Arabidopsis thaliana: one gene and its partner. The protein of the gene in region 2 interacts with the protein of the main gene of each other region in a biochemical or structural test. Each region holds a gene or a part of one and is shown on either strand. Other genes may lie near its edges.

Region 1 (7,874 bases), on a different chromosome or scaffold from region 2:
AATTCAGGATCCAGGTGTATTGAGGTTAGACGCGCAAAGAGAGGGAATTTCTTTGTCCTCAAGGGTGAAGAAAACGATGAGCAGTCTGTGTCCTTAATTCTTCGTATAGTAGATGAGAATGGTCAGTTCTTTATTCTGCTCCAGCTAAGATTCATTACTTTCTTCGATATTTTTGCATTCTGAAACTTAATATAACTGTGTCTTGTTGCACAGGGCGTGTGAGGAACATTCATTTCCTGTTCTATCAAGAAGGGGACACTGCTTCTAAGGTGTCGAGTGAGATGGTTGAGCAACTCGAGTTAACTGACCAGAACGTCACGTTTATAGCCGAGCTGATTGATATACTACTTGTCAACATGATACCCACCTGGAAAACCGATGTCACAGTCGATCATCTCATCCATTCGCAACTGAATCAGAACTCAAGAAGTCATCATAACGAAGCAAAGCCACAGAAACAAGAGGAGACTGTTTTTCATGATACTTGTGAGTTGGTTAGTCACTCGTGTAACTCAGATTGCCCACGATCAGATGAGGAAGATAAGCAATGCGTCGATGCCACCAAAGGAGAAGACAAGAGCTCCATTCAAGAAGTAGAAGAAGCAACCGAACCAGTAAGTTTGGAGGAAGAAGAAAGGTTAAGACAAGAGCTGGAGGAGATAGAAGCTAAGTATCAGGAAGATATGAAAGAGATAGCAACGAAAAGAGAAGAGGCCATTATGGAGACGAAGAAAAAGTTGTCTCTGATGAAGTTAAAGTAATAGCCAAAAAAGCTCAAAGAAAACGTTGATACTGATGAAGAGCTTTTGTGTTTTTAATCTCTTTTGTTTAATTTGTTGGTTGGAGGAGAAGTGTAGAAAGATGAAGGGTTTCTATTTGATTAATTGAGATTTAATTTGGTTGGTTGTTACAAGTTAGAACATAAAAAATGGTTCCTGTTAAAATGTTCTAAGAGATTGTCCATTATATATGATTTTGTATAAATTGAACATGTAATTAGTTAATAGCCAACTATTGTAATAAAAGTAATCAAGCCTTTTCGTGTAAGGAATCAATCAACAGAGACGAAAATGTAGTAATTAATTATAACCATTAAGAGGAAGTCGGGAAACCAAAGAAATCTAACATTAAGTCTTTGAAGAACACAAAGCATAATCAAGCATAGAGAACAACATGGCAAAATCATCAAAATCAGAATCACTGATCTCCAGGAAGTGTCTTGATGATGTCGGAATCACCAGGATCAACGATGCTGAGGCAAGAAACTCGGAAGTATTTACCACAAGCAGTACCCAAATCAACATTGTTGCCATTGTAGCGATGAACTCCAACTTTAGCAAGCATCGCATAGTATTCAATCTCTGACCTTCTCAACGGTGGGCAATTGCTAGATATCAATATCAGCTTACCTAAACCCCCCAACAATATCCAACAATTATTCAACTAAATTACGAGGAAGACGAACACTATAATCAATCGATGAAGAGGGATTTTAAATTTTTACCTTTGGAGCTGCGAAGGGATTTGAGAACAGACTTGTATCCAAGAGTGTACTTTCCACTCTTCATCACAAGAGCTAATCTGCTGTTGATTCCTTCATGGGACTTCTTCGCCTTCTTCTCCGCAACCATTTTTCACCGCCGGGAAGATTCAGATCGCAGGTTTACAAGAGAGAGTTCTTCTTCGGGTTCGGGCGGCGCAAAATGATAGTTTATATAGCGAGTGCCTTAGAACCCTTAGGGTTTTTTTGTTTTCTTGTCAGGAGACAGGAGGATATAAGAAGCCCAAAATAAACTCGACCCAAGGCCCAAACTAAAAGGCCTATAACTTCAGGATTTAGGGTATGAAAATTTCTAATTTACCCTTGAATTTTGGCGGGATAGTTTGGGATGGGACCAAAAATTTGGCGACTGGAGAAAATGAGAAAATCAAAATCACTGAGAAAGAAATTTCGAGAAATCTGAAAATCGGAAGGAAGAAAACAAAAACCTTTCAATTGAAGAACGGAGAAATCATCATCCGATGGGTCGATTAGATGTAGCTGCGGCGAAGAGAGCGTACCGGAAAGCAGAAGAAGTGGGTGACCGGAGAGAACAGGCGAGGTGGGCTAACAATGTCGGCGATATCCTTAAGAATCATGGAGAGTACGTTGATGCTCTCAAGTGGTTTAGGATTGATTACGATATCTCCGTCAAGTATTTACCTGGGAAAGATTTGTTACCTACTTGTCAGTCTCTTGGCGAGATCTATCTCCGCCTCGAAAATTTCGAAGAAGCCTTGATTTATCAGGTAAGCCCTCTTGAATCAATTGCTTTTTCCTACTTGGTTATTGTTGGCTTCCTGAATTTTCCGTGAATAATTTTGGTGTTTGAGTTTTTCATTTTGAATTTGTGTTTTTTTCTGGTGGTTGCAGAAGAAGCATTTACAGCTAGCTGAAGAAGCTAATGACACTGTGGAGAAGCAAAGAGCATGTACTCAACTTGGACGTACTTACCATGAAATGTTCTTGAAGTCTGAGGATGATTGTGAAGCCATTCAGAGTGCTAAAAAGTACTTTAAGAAAGCCATGGAACTTGCACAGATTCTCAAGGAGAAACCACCTCCTGGAGAATCTAGCGGATTCCTTGAGGAGTATATTAACGCACATAACAACATCGGTATGCTTGACCTTGATCTTGATAATCCTGAAGCAGCCCGTACTATTCTTAAGAAAGGGCTGCAGATTTGCGATGAAGAGGAGGTGAGAGAGTATGATGCTGCTCGGAGTAGGCTTCATCATAACCTTGGAAACGTTTTTATGGCGCTGAGAAGTTGGGATGAAGCAAAGAAACACATTGAGATGGATATTAATATCTGTCATAAGATTAATCATGTCCAAGGAGAAGCGAAGGGGTATATCAATCTCGCTGAATTACACAACAAGACCCAAAAGTACATTGATGCTCTTTTATGTTATGGTAAAGCTTCTAGTCTAGCGAAATCTATGCAAGACGAGAGTGCATTGGTTGAACAGATAGAGCATAATACCAAGATAGTCAAGAAATCCATGAAAGTTATGGAAGAATTGAGAGAAGAAGAGCTTATGCTTAAGAAGTTGTCTGCAGAAATGACTGATGCCAAAGGCACTTCGGAGGAACGAAAGTCTATGCTCCAAGTAAATGCTTGTCTTGGAAGTCTTATTGATAAATCTAGCATGGTATTCGCATGGCTGAAGGTGAGTTTTATAACTTAAACACTCCTTCCTTTTTAGTCCTATCACTCCACCCCATGTTCGCATTTATTTGAAAAGTTTCCAGAAGTTAAAGTTGTCCATCGTAGGGGTTTTTAATGATGAATAAGCATTGTGAGATTTCATCAGGTAGTATGGAGTAGGAAAAATATGCTATTTTCTTAGATTTGATTTAAGTTTTGTGAACTTCTGCTATTGACACTGTCTTTTCAGATCAGTCAGGAAGACTATATTATCAAAGAATTACATGATTCTTGTTCTCTCAAGAAAACCTATCTTTTGAATGCTGGGATAATATCTTTGTTCTGAACTTGCAAAGTAAAGTTATTATGTGGCAAAACGATGATTATTCTGTATCATACGGATACTGAGTGATCCAAGTCTCTGCATCACTGTTTCAATGACTTGTGATATAGTTTTGAAAGTTAAGTAGGAGGCTGCCATTTGAAGTTTGCATGCAACTAAAGGGTTGCTATTTCTTCTTTGAATGTCTTAGCATCTTCAATATTCAAAAAGGAAGAAGAAAATATCAGATGAACTCTGTGACAAGGAAAAGCTGAGTGATGCCTTCATGATTGTTGGAGAATCTTACCAAAATCTCAGAAATTTCAGAAAGTCCCTGAAGTGGTTCATAAGAAGTTATGAGGGACATGAAGCAATTGGTAATCTGGAGGTGAGATTTGTTTGCTTGCACGATTAATTATAAAAACCTATGTTCACTACTGTCATCAGAATTTGATTCACAAAACCAGAAATAATTCATTAGGCCTCTACTGAACATTTTCTGTGGAAAACTGATTATACCTTTTCTTGGATTTGTCAATATTATAGCTATTCTTCTTTCCTGATTCTAATATTCACTTATGGTGGTCTCTTGTAGGGTCAAGCACTAGCGAAGATTAATATTGGTAATGGTTTGGACTGTATTGGGGAATGGACAGGAGCACTTCAGGCATATGAAGAGGGGTACAGGTAGATCCAATTATAAGTAATCTTTATCAAACTGCGCATTTGAGCTATTATTTGGTTATGTTTGTGATTCAGTCCTAGTAAATCTACTTATTAATTTTCCTTGAGAGAACTGATAATTCCATTGAACAATATGACGGCGATGAAACTCATTTTTTTCTTAAAATGGAAAGAACACTTGAAGCAGAGCAAATGTGAATGTGCTATAAAGTACTTAACTGCTTGTTGGTTGTCCCTTTCGACTAAGTTCACGAATTACTGCACTATGGCTTCTGAATAAATAATACAATGTACTTTGAATCAGTACTTCTCATGATAGTGGATAATTATAGCACATTTTGCATTTTCAATCACTTAAAATATTTTTTCTGTGACTTTCTTCTGCTATATTCAAACACATCGCATATACATTTACGTGAATTTATACACACATACTGCATGCTAATAAATTAACTATTGGTCTTTCTGGATTTATTTTCATTTGATCCTGCAGAATTGCTTTGAAAGCTAATCTTCCTTCAATCCAGCTTTCTGCACTGGAAGATATACACTATATCCATATGATGAGATTTGGGAATGCTCAAAAAGCCAGGTAACAATTACTGTTTTGTCACTGGACGGAATATGGATAGACACCAAATCTGGTGTAAGGTTTGCAGTTTCAAGTATTTCATTTTACTCATATATTATTTCTACTGTCTAGTGAATTGAAGGAAACAATACAAAATCTGAAGGAGTCAGAACATGCTGAGAAAGCCGAATGTAGTACACAAGATGAATGCTCTGAAACTGACTCAGAAGGGCATGCGAATGTATCGAATGATAGGCCAAATGCATGTAGCTCACCGCAAACACCAAATTCACTTAGATCAGAACGGTTAGCAGATCTGGATGAAGCAAATGATGATGTGCCACTAATTTCATTTCTCCAGCCTGGAAAACGTCTGTTCAAAAGGAAACAAGTTTCAGGAAAACAAGATGCTGACACTGATCAGACGAAGAAAGATTTCTCTGTAGTAGCAGACTCTCAGCAGACAGTTGCTGGTCGAAAGCGTATTCGAGTAATCCTCTCTGATGATGAAAGTGAGACCGAATATGAGCTGGGATGCCCTAAAGACAGTTCTCACAAAGTTCTAAGGCAGAATGAAGAGGTTTCTGAGGAAAGTATGTATTTTGATGGTGCTATTAATTATACGGATAATCGTGCCATCCAAGATAATGTAGAAGAAGGTTCTTGCTCGTATACGCCTCTCCATCCTATTAAGGTGGCTCCAAATGTCAGCAATTGTAGATCTTTGAGTAATAATATAGCTGTTGAAACAACTGGTCGTCGTAAAAAAGGATCTCAATGTGATGTTGGCGACTCCAACGGCACGTCCTGCAAAACTGGAGCTGCTCTCGTGAACTTCCACGCTTACTCAAAAACTGAGGATGTGAGCAACTGTGATCTGGTTTTTGAGTTATCATTGACCATTCTTGGGATTGGATTTCATTTATTTTTCTACTTCGTCCAATCTTCTTCATGATAACTATATGTTTTACTTGTTGCAGCGAAAAATAAAAATTGAAATTGAAAATGAACACATAGCTTTAGACTCCTGTTCTCACGATGATGAGTCTGTGAAGGTGGAACTTACTTGCCTATACTATTTACAGCTTCCTGACGATGAGAAATCTAAAGGTATGTGCTTTTGTTTTCTTAGCAAAACTTTAGGATGATCCCAGTTCGGATCAGTCTCTATAATGCATGATCCCAGTTCGGATCAGTCCTATAATTCTCATCTCACGCTTAATAACATTTCTTTTGCTTTTTGATATCATTCCCCTTGTTTCCTAGCACGTTTTAAGTTTTGCTCTAAAAGTTTGAATCTTTGAACATTCAATTTGCGTTAGGTCTGTTGCCGATCATTCATCATTTGGAATATGGTGGAAGAGTTCTGAAACCATTGGAACTATATGCGATTCTCAGGGACTCTTCTGAAAATGTTGTTATTGAAGCTTCCGTTGATGGTAAGTATTTCCTTGATAGAATTGGAATCTACTCATGATATTTGGATGTATGATTGTCAAGCTGATCATTCTATAAATTTGTTTTCATCACAAATTGTTCTCTCACTTTTTACATGATTGTGCTGAACCGCTGTATTGGCTTTTAAGATTATGGTCATTGATTCTTCCCTCTTATTTATACACCACGGCTGAATCAGCATGAAATTAATTTGTTTTCAGGCTGGGTTCACAAGCGCCTGATGAAACTATACATGGACTGTTGCCAGTCGTTGTCAGAGAAACCCAGTATGAAATTGCTTAAGAAATTATATATTTCGGAGGTGAGAGTATTACCCCAAATTTTAGCGGTTAATGTATGAAATATTTTCTTCTCTTTGTTTGCTTTTCAACCTACTTAAAGCTAGCTAGTTACAAATTCTTACTTTATTTGATGTATAATCTGAATGGTTATTTCGTTGTATGTTTATCAGGTAGAAGATGATATCAATGTGTCAGAATGTGAACTGCAAGACATATCAGCTGCTCCATTATTGTGTGCCCTCCATGTCCACAATATTGCTATGTTGGATCTCTCCCACAATATGCTAGGTGAAAGTTGCCTCTGACGTCTTACTTAATTTAATGAGCTGACCTAAGTGAGTTAGTTGGTTATGCATAGGGAACTACTAGGAAATTCAGAAGTGTTAATTTCCATCGTCTCATTGGTTGTTAGGGAATGGAACAATGGAGAAATTGAAACAACTTTTTGCCTCATCAAGCCAGATGTATGGTGCTTTAACTTTGGATTTGCACTGCAATCGATTTGGTCCAACTGCTTTGTTTCAGGTACACTACTAGGCCCAAAGCTAGAAAATTTCACATATTCATGTTATTTTCGTATTATTTAATATACTCCTCTTTACCAGATCTGTGAATGCCCTGTTCTGTTCACTCGACTTGAAGTCCTCAATGTGTCCAGGAATCGACTTACAGATGCTTGTGGATCATACCTCTCAACTATAGTGAAAAATTGCCGGGGTATAGATTTTTTTTTTTTTTTTTTTAAATTATGATAATTCATTTACAGTATCTAAATGCCCTGATGGTATGTTTTGTTTCTTGGTTTCACTGGTGTCTTATAAACCCAGTAGATAGATATATGAAATACCTGATATTAGGTTTAATAATCTTAAACATTTTCTTCCATTCACTAGCTTACATTAATGTGTCCCCTTTTGTTTCTTAGCACTTTACAGCTTGAATGTGGAACATTGTTCACTTACATCAAGAACAATCCAAAAGGTAGCTAATGCTTTGGATTCGAAGTCAGGACTTTCACAACTCTGTATAGGTGATCTTTCTAATTTGTTATGTACATTCAATTTATTTTTTTTATCTCGTTTCAGTTTGCTGAAGTTGGTGGATCCGTATATGGCAGGTTATAATAATCCTGTTTCAGGGAGTAGTATTCAAAACCTCTTGGCTAAATTGGCTACTCTAAGCAGGTTGAAAGAAACACATTTTAAAGCTGTTTTTTTTTTATACGTAAATCCATCTAACATGATCATATGTCAAAACACTGCAGCTTTGCAGAACTGAGCATGAATGGCATAAAGCTGAGCAGCCAAGTTGTTGATAGCCTTTATGCACTTGTTAAGACTCCATCTCTGTCAAAACTTTTGGTTGG
Region 2 (7,434 bases):
GCTACTTTCATCATCATCCTAACCATGTAGCAAATTTTTTGTTTTATTTGTTTGGTCTTACTATATCTCTCTACCTAATAAACGTAATCGTAACACTATCTTATATACTTTTAACAGAAAATTCAACTTAATAAACGCATGCGAGATTTTAATGCATTCGGCCGCGTGTGAATTATTTAAAACAAAAAAAAAACGGTGAGTTGAGCGTTTCTCGGATTCAACTAGTACGTTTAAAAAAAAAAAACACTAGTACGTTTTAGTTTAGAGTATTTTAATTAGTAGGTCAAACTATAACTAAAATTTCAGAGTAAATCAGAATAGATTAGAAGTGAGAACTTCAATGTTCCTTGTAAATTCAAATTGACCGATCATTCTAGTTGTTTTTATAGTGGACACCAAAAACCATTTTTCTATCTCATAGTAAAATACTTTGCCAATATTGTTATTAAAGGCTTAAAGCTATTTTTGTATTTTTAACCTCTCCCAGTTGAAATGATATAGCAAGTAAAAAAAAAATGATAATCATTTACCTATATTTTACCTCATCGTTATTTAGTAAGAATAGTCAACAAGAAAAAAAAATCATTGGAAGAGAGGAGAAGAATGTTACAAATTTACAATACAATGTATGCAAAAAGCTTATTATTTAGATATCTGAAAAAACATTATTAGTTTTCGCAGAGACTCTCTTTCTCTCTATCTCCCAGCCTCTTTCTCCTGATACAACCAACACACAAACTCTGAAACAGAACATCATCACAAAATACATAACAAGAACCAACAAGAGCTCTAGATTTGCTCTTAACACAACCAAGAATCTCAATTGTTCTCTAAAGAGAACTAAGAAACTTAACCCAAATGATCTCTGCACTTTGCGTCGCCTCTTTCGCAAATTCCTCAGCCGCTTGCTCGTCTTTCGCCTTCCTCACCGCGCCATGATACTCTTCGTAAGCCTCAGAAGCATCAGCCAGAAGATGAGAAAGTTCTTTCACAGTCTCCTTAAACTTTCCATCAACAGATTCTTTCTCTGCTTCAAGTTTCGCCAACAGTTTCTTGATTGCGAAGATTTTAACGAACAACGCGTCTCCTTCTTGAGCAAGCTTTTTAGCGGTTGCGAAATGAGTGTCCACGGCGGTTTGCTTCTCCGTGGCAACTTCTTTGAGCATTTTTGCTCGTACCTGCGCGATGTGAACTCTCTCAGAAGCTTCAAGTCCTTCTTTGATGACGTTTCTGTATTTAGCTAACCTAGAAATGTAACTGATTGGAGCTGAACTTAGCTCTTCAAAACTCGCAGCCGTAATGAGAATCTGACCGAAATCTTTACGTGTCACAAGCTCACGAGCGGTTAAGCCGCGAAGCTCATTCAGTTTAGCCCTTAGGGTTTCTACAGTCTCTGATGTAGCAGATGATTCGCTTGTGGAAGAAGCTATAGAAGGAGAAGTGAGAACTCTGTGTCCGAGTAGAGATTCCTTTTCTTTCCTGTGATTCTCAACGAGTTGAGTCAAAGACGCGGTGAGACTAGAAGTCTCTGTTCCCTGAAAAATCATGAAAACATAGGAATTAGACTTTAGAGATTGTGATTCTGATCACTTTCTTGCTGTTCAAGAAAAGGTTTAAAACAAAAACCTGGACTGCAGATTCTTCAGAGAGGATATCTTCTATGCTATATTTTGTTGGTATAACAATCGAGGAATCTTCGTCTTGTTTAGAACAGCTACAACCACCTGACTGTCCTAGTCCAAGAACCTCTGGTATAGCAGAGCCACTCTGTTTCTTTGCAGCTGTGAGAACAAGAATTGTCTTAGAAAAATATTTTGAGACAGTGAGTGAAGCAAAAAAGTTAAAGACTTTTGGTTGTTTCTTACATTCTTCTTTGTCAGCCTTTGCATTAATACCACTGTGTGCTTCTGCAGAACAAGAAGGTTGGAATCAGAAACTGTCAATCTATACTTTCTTTACTTAGAACTTAGAAGAGATCAGTAATAGAATCTTGGAGTACCTTCAAATTCACGTTCCATCTCTTCCAAAATTATCTTTCTCTTAGCAGCTGAAACAAAAAATTATAACCAAAACAGTTACAAATTTTGTATGAGAAGGTTTTAAAGAGAAAAAATGGATCAGAGAGTTTACATTCTTCTTCAAGATTTCTGGAATCATCAACTTTGATCTGTTTAAGACCTCCAATAGCAGCTGCAAGTAGAAGATGAAAACAGGTTCAAGATTTCCTCTGAAGAATATGAGCTGATGAGACAGATACTTATATGTTGACATACCTTCGAACTCGCGTTCGATCTCTTCAAGCATACTCTTTCTCTTTGCAGCTATATAACAAGAGATAACTAACTCTGTCTCAGAATACTGTGGTGAAGAAAGTGAATCAAGAAGAGTTTTTGTTGTTTCTTACATTGTTCTTCATTATTATTGCCTTCAGAGAAATCATTAGCCTTTAGTTGTTCAAGACCTATTGTAGCAGCTACAAAATTATAAAATTACAGAAAATTAGGATCTAAAAAAGAGTGTGAGATAAATGGTATGTGAGGATAGATTACCTTCAAATTCGCGTTCGATATCTTCCAACATTTTGTTTCTCTTTGCAGCTGTAATAAAGATCAAGATACAAGAAGAATAGGCTCAGAATACTGTAAGGAAGAAAAAGAGTCGAAAACCCGCAGAAAAAGAAAGATATTTACATTGTTCATCATCAGCACTGCCTTCAGTGAAATCATTTAGTTGTTTAAGATCTTTTGTTGCAGCTGCAAATAGAAGACAATAAACACATTCTTAAAAACACTATTCTCCATGTTTAGTTTTCTATATTTGATATTAAAGATAACCTTCAAATTCACGTTCAATCTCTTCCAGCAGACTTTGCCTCTTTGCAGCTGTAACTACAATACATTCAAAGCCTGATTCAGATAACCATAGAGAAAGAATAGCAGATAATAAGAAGAAGAGTGCTTTACAGTGTTCTTTGTCTTCAGTAGAATCATCAACTTGAAGTTGCTTAAGGCTCTCTGTAGCAGCTGCAAGTGATAAATGTAGATATAAGACTCTCAGATATTACTCAGGGTTGGGATGTGAACTAATTAAGACTCTTAGTAAATGTTATGTAGGAGATACCTTCGAACTCTCGTTCGATCTCTTCTAACAAACTTTGTCCCTTTGCAGCTGTTTTTATGACAGTATATTCAATCTGATTCAGAAAACTGTATGCAGGAAAAGGAATTAGATAAAGAAGATGGGACAAACCGCAAACGTTTCATACCGTGTTCTTCTTCGTTATTGTCCGCGGTTGAATCGCTAGCCCTTAGTTGTTCAAGACCTTTTGAAGCAGCTATGAGAAACAGAACACAGAAACATATTATTAAGTAACACACAATTTTCTTTACGAATCATATGATTAAGACAGTTTGTGGTATATATACAAAGTACCTTCAAATTCCCGTTCGATCTCTTCAAGCATACTTAGTCTCTTTGCAGCTGTAACAAGATAGCAGCTTCAGTGGAAATGGATAAGAGAAAACCAAAAAGGACTATATGTGACTTTACATTGTTCTTCATCATCTCCGCTTCCTGTGGAATCAGAAACCTTAAGTGCTTCAATGCCTTCCATAGCAGCTGCAAGTAGGAGATTGAAATAGAAAATCACACAAACAAACTCTTAGATGATACTCAGATTGATTTATAATGGTTTCTGCATTCTTCTTAGAACATATTGAAACATACTGGTGTCTCAAGATACCTTCAAACTCGCGTTCAATAGCTTCAAGCATACTTTTTCTCTTTGCAGCTGTAACAAAGACACATAATCAGTCACAAAATACTCAAATAGAGACAAAGGGAACAGATAAATCTGAAATTGAAGAGGTTTATTACAGTGTTCTTCGTCATCTTTGTCCCCGGTGAAGTCATTAACCTTTAGTTGTTCAAGTTCTTTTGTAGCAGCTAAGGTATGAGATGAAACAGAAGAAAAAGCTAACTATTAGATTCAAGATTTTATCTCAAAACAGAGGAGCTATCTAAGACATGTATGTTGAGAATATACCTTCAAACTCACGTTCGATCTCTTCCAACAAACTTTGCCTCTTTGCAGCTGTAAGTGTAACAAGTGATACAAAACCTGTTTCAGTGTATCATATTATGGCAAGGACAAAATGGAGTCAAGAGAAGGAGTCTTTTACAATGTTCTTCATCATTTCCTTCGTTTACATCATCAGTCTTTAGTTGTTTCAGACTATCTGAAGCAGCTGCAACAAGTAGGAGAAGCAAAAGAAGTCAGATTAACAAACTTTTTTTTATAAGTGAACTAACTATAAGCTAGCTAGATGTATAATCTATGAGACAACCTTCAAACTCATGTTCGATTTCTTCCAACATTTTCTGTCTATGAGCAGCTGAAACAAGACACAATAACAACTACATCAGCAAAAGAAAGAACTATTGAAGAAACAAAGAATTTCATAGAAGAAAATCTTACATAATTCTTCATCATCATCCTTGGATTCAGCCTTGACACCATCAGATCCAGCTTGGTTAATACTATTGTGATGAGCTGCAATTAATCATGATACACAATTATATACAAAAACTTTACTAAACATCAATTTCTGATTAACTATATAGTAAAATAAATAAGGGCCTTTCATGTTTCACACCATAAACACAATCACTAAGATCAAGATCTTGAGATACCTTCGAATTCAAGTTTGATTTGATCCAACAGACTCGAACGTCCAACGCTTTCATCACTAACAGATCCAACCTAAACACACACAGCAAAGACAAAAATTCACCTTAATTAAGTTTACAAAAAACTACTTTGCAGGAATCTCTTTATTACTTTCATTAATTAGAATCCAAATCTAAACTTAAAGAGCAACGCAACAAAAGCTAAACCCTAACCTCAGATTCATCTGATAGAGATAGAGAAATAGTGTTCTTATCAGTCACTGTAGTGTTATTCTGGTTTTCACTCTGTATCTTTGCAGCTGAAGACACACAGAAACATAGAAGCTGTCACAAACATAACAAAAATAGAATCAAGAAAGAGATATAGAGAGAGAGATCTTACACTGATCTTCATCGTCCTTGCCTTGAAGAGCATTGACACTATCTAGAAAGAAAAAAAGAGAACCTAAAATCAATCCAAGAAAACAAATAAAAAGAAAGAAAACCTTGGATAAGTGTCGGTATTTCTGAGAATGTCCTTACCTTGATAATCACGTTCTATTAGATCCAAATTACTCAAACCACTACCATCATCCTAAAAAGATACAAGATGCGTTGAAAATTATTTTTAAGGTTGAAAGAAAAATAATTAAAAGACATGTTTTTTTCTACCTGACAAGAAACCTCATGGAAGCTTGAAAGAAGGATACACAAAGACAAAGCCAGTACAAGAAAATTCGTTTTCATGGTGTAGATTTCCATTACAAGAACGAGGATACACAAAATCTTTAAGCTTGAAGAAGCATCACATAGCTATGGATACGCTTATAAAATAAAACCGTTGTAACTAACTTAAACGTGGATTTCATTCTTTTATCTCGTGGCTCTTCTTCTAGATAACTCATTTTGTGTGTAGCAAAAGTTAAACAGCTAGATGTGAAATAATATAATTAATATTAGTAAATGTGACATTTTATAATTTTATTGAAAATAATAATATCATGGAAATAGGAAAAAAAACAAAAAAAAAACTATTGATGGAATAACTAAGATAGAAATATTTATTTTAATAAAGTCAATTTTTTTAAAAACACATCTCTTTTTTTTTTGGTTATGCCTTCCATTCCCAAATCAGATTGCTCAATAGTTAAGTGGTCAAGCTCGTACAAATTCGTTTTTGAACATCTCATTTTTTTATGTGTTACGTTGGTTTGTTTTCTTATATTTTTTGACATAGTAAAAATACTTTTATTAGTTTTCTATTATGTAAATTAAATTTTTTAAAACTATTATTACGTAAAAAAACAAACTCACAACTCTAAAAAAATTAATGACTTTATATTTCATTTTGTCAATATTGTGGAATTTCGATTTTTTGCGTTAATTCTGTCTAGTCATGAATTTGGATATCAATCCATGGACAGACTCATCCTCCATACTTAATTTTGTGGAGAATGCTAGCTAGGGTCATTATTATTAATGTCTCTTCTATATGTTGAACCAGAAATAAAACTTGAAACCTTAAGAAGATTTTAGAACCTCTTTTTTCAGTATATATAATCACATTTAAGGGATTTTACAAACTTTTCATAAAATTCGTGTGAAAGTAGGCATTTTTCAAAGGCTATAATTATAGAAATAGGGACTTTTTCACTGTTCAAAATGATAAAACCCTGAAACAACTTTAAAACTCCAAATAAAATAATTACTTCTTGGCTTTTGAAAAAGTGAATTAGTGCCTTTAAATTTGAAGAACTCATAAGTTCGCATTACATGTACCCAAATGCAATCTTTCTATAATTAACTTTATATTTAATAATTGGAATATATATTTTTAATTCTCTATACGACTCTATCCAAAGTAAAGAATATTATTGTTGTAATATCGCTTTTCAATTTCTATTAACTATTAATAAGTGAATAATTTAAACTACGCAATAATTTTTTTTTCTTCAAACAATAAATTATCCAATAGTGTCTCTAGGTTTGATGGTCCCTTGATGGAATAGTTAAATGCATGGCTCCCGTGTGACGTCGTAGTCCAGAGCGGACAAATATAAGTTCAGTACTAGTAGAAAGATATATGTTGTCTCAACGTGCAACATGTGATATATATCGATTACTAATATTTTTTTTTTTTTTGAGATTAGTATTATGTTATAAATATATAAAAGTTTATATATCACTAGACAGTAGTATATGAATCAGAGAACACGTAAATATATCGTCTCAATTATAACCCTTTTTCAAACAAAATATATATATTATCAACTATTTTGCTTTTATCCGTGAAATGATTGTACATAATTTTGGAGCATGCATGTCTTCTCATTTCTGAATAATTCAACCTACATATCAATGGGTTAAAACACGTTCGGGAAGTTCTTCTACCTGTTATTAAAACCATTATAGGATGTGTTATTTTATTTTTATGATATGCTTTTTATAAACATTAATTCATTTTATCAAATAAATTTCCATATCCGCCATATACATATAGACATAGCATGCATGTCTTCTTGGTTCTGAATAATTCTACCTATACATGTCAAGTAGATTAATATGGACTTCTAATCAGCGTTCTCCTGTATTACAAACAAACAAAAATAACAATTCGGTACGTAACTACTTTTCTTACATTATATAATAATGCACACTACGAATGGAACAGTCCTAATAATTGTAAAACCACAGTGGGAACAAGAAAAGTGGCCCAGGATGATTCAGATCAGAGAAATAAGACTTTCAGTTCCAAGTATAATAATT

What was found.
Region 1: the proteins of TSA1 (region 2) and TSK form a complex in vitro, tested with the Arabidopsis thaliana proteins (one study listed by BioGRID).

The regions. Positions count from the first base shown.
Region 1 is NC_003074.8:6,447,194-6,455,067, reverse strand, and holds the start of TSK (tetratricopeptide repeat (TPR)-containing protein), read left to right. Parts: upstream 1-1,866; 5' UTR 1,867-2,022; coding exon 2,023-2,289; intron 2,290-2,413; coding exon 2,414-3,214; intron 3,215-3,725; coding exon 3,726-3,902; intron 3,903-4,109; coding exon 4,110-4,201; intron 4,202-4,691; coding exon 4,692-4,790; intron 4,791-4,901; coding exon 4,902-5,631; intron 5,632-5,749; coding exon 5,750-5,879; intron 5,880-6,091; coding exon 6,092-6,208; intron 6,209-6,427; coding exon 6,428-6,528; intron 6,529-6,678; coding exon 6,679-6,796; intron 6,797-6,920; coding exon 6,921-7,033; intron 7,034-7,113; coding exon 7,114-7,225; intron 7,226-7,433; coding exon 7,434-7,538; intron 7,539-7,625; coding exon 7,626-7,692; intron 7,693-7,772; coding exon 7,773-7,874. Other genes in the region: WNK6 (with no lysine (K) kinase 6), read left to right, coding at 1-121, 214-761; RLK902 (Ribosomal protein L7Ae/L30e/S12e/Gadd45 family protein), read right to left, coding at 1,198-1,409, 1,505-1,631.
Region 2 is NC_003070.9:19,518,758-19,526,191, reverse strand, and holds TSA1 (TSK-associating protein 1), read right to left. Parts: upstream 5,590-7,434; 5' UTR 5,431-5,589; coding exon 5,341-5,430; intron 5,264-5,340; coding exon 5,212-5,263; intron 5,114-5,211; coding exon 5,072-5,113; intron 4,989-5,071; coding exon 4,903-4,988; intron 4,763-4,902; coding exon 4,693-4,762; intron 4,553-4,692; coding exon 4,478-4,552; intron 4,395-4,477; coding exon 4,347-4,394; intron 4,248-4,346; coding exon 4,182-4,247; intron 4,094-4,181; coding exon 4,046-4,093; intron 3,946-4,045; coding exon 3,877-3,945; intron 3,791-3,876; coding exon 3,743-3,790; intron 3,619-3,742; coding exon 3,550-3,618; intron 3,481-3,549; coding exon 3,433-3,480; intron 3,335-3,432; coding exon 3,266-3,334; intron 3,169-3,265; coding exon 3,121-3,168; intron 3,024-3,120; coding exon 2,964-3,023; intron 2,889-2,963; coding exon 2,835-2,888; intron 2,754-2,834; coding exon 2,691-2,753; intron 2,598-2,690; coding exon 2,550-2,597; intron 2,474-2,549; and 15 more. Other genes in the region: AT1G52415 (Bifunctional inhibitor/lipid-transfer protein/seed storage 2S albumin superfamily protein), read right to left, coding at 1-26. UniProt on the Arabidopsis thaliana protein: Involved in seedling development in the dark. May be involved, when interacting with TSK, in the organization of spindle microtubules and may participate, when interacting with GIP1, in structural links between the nuclear envelope and the cytoskeleton.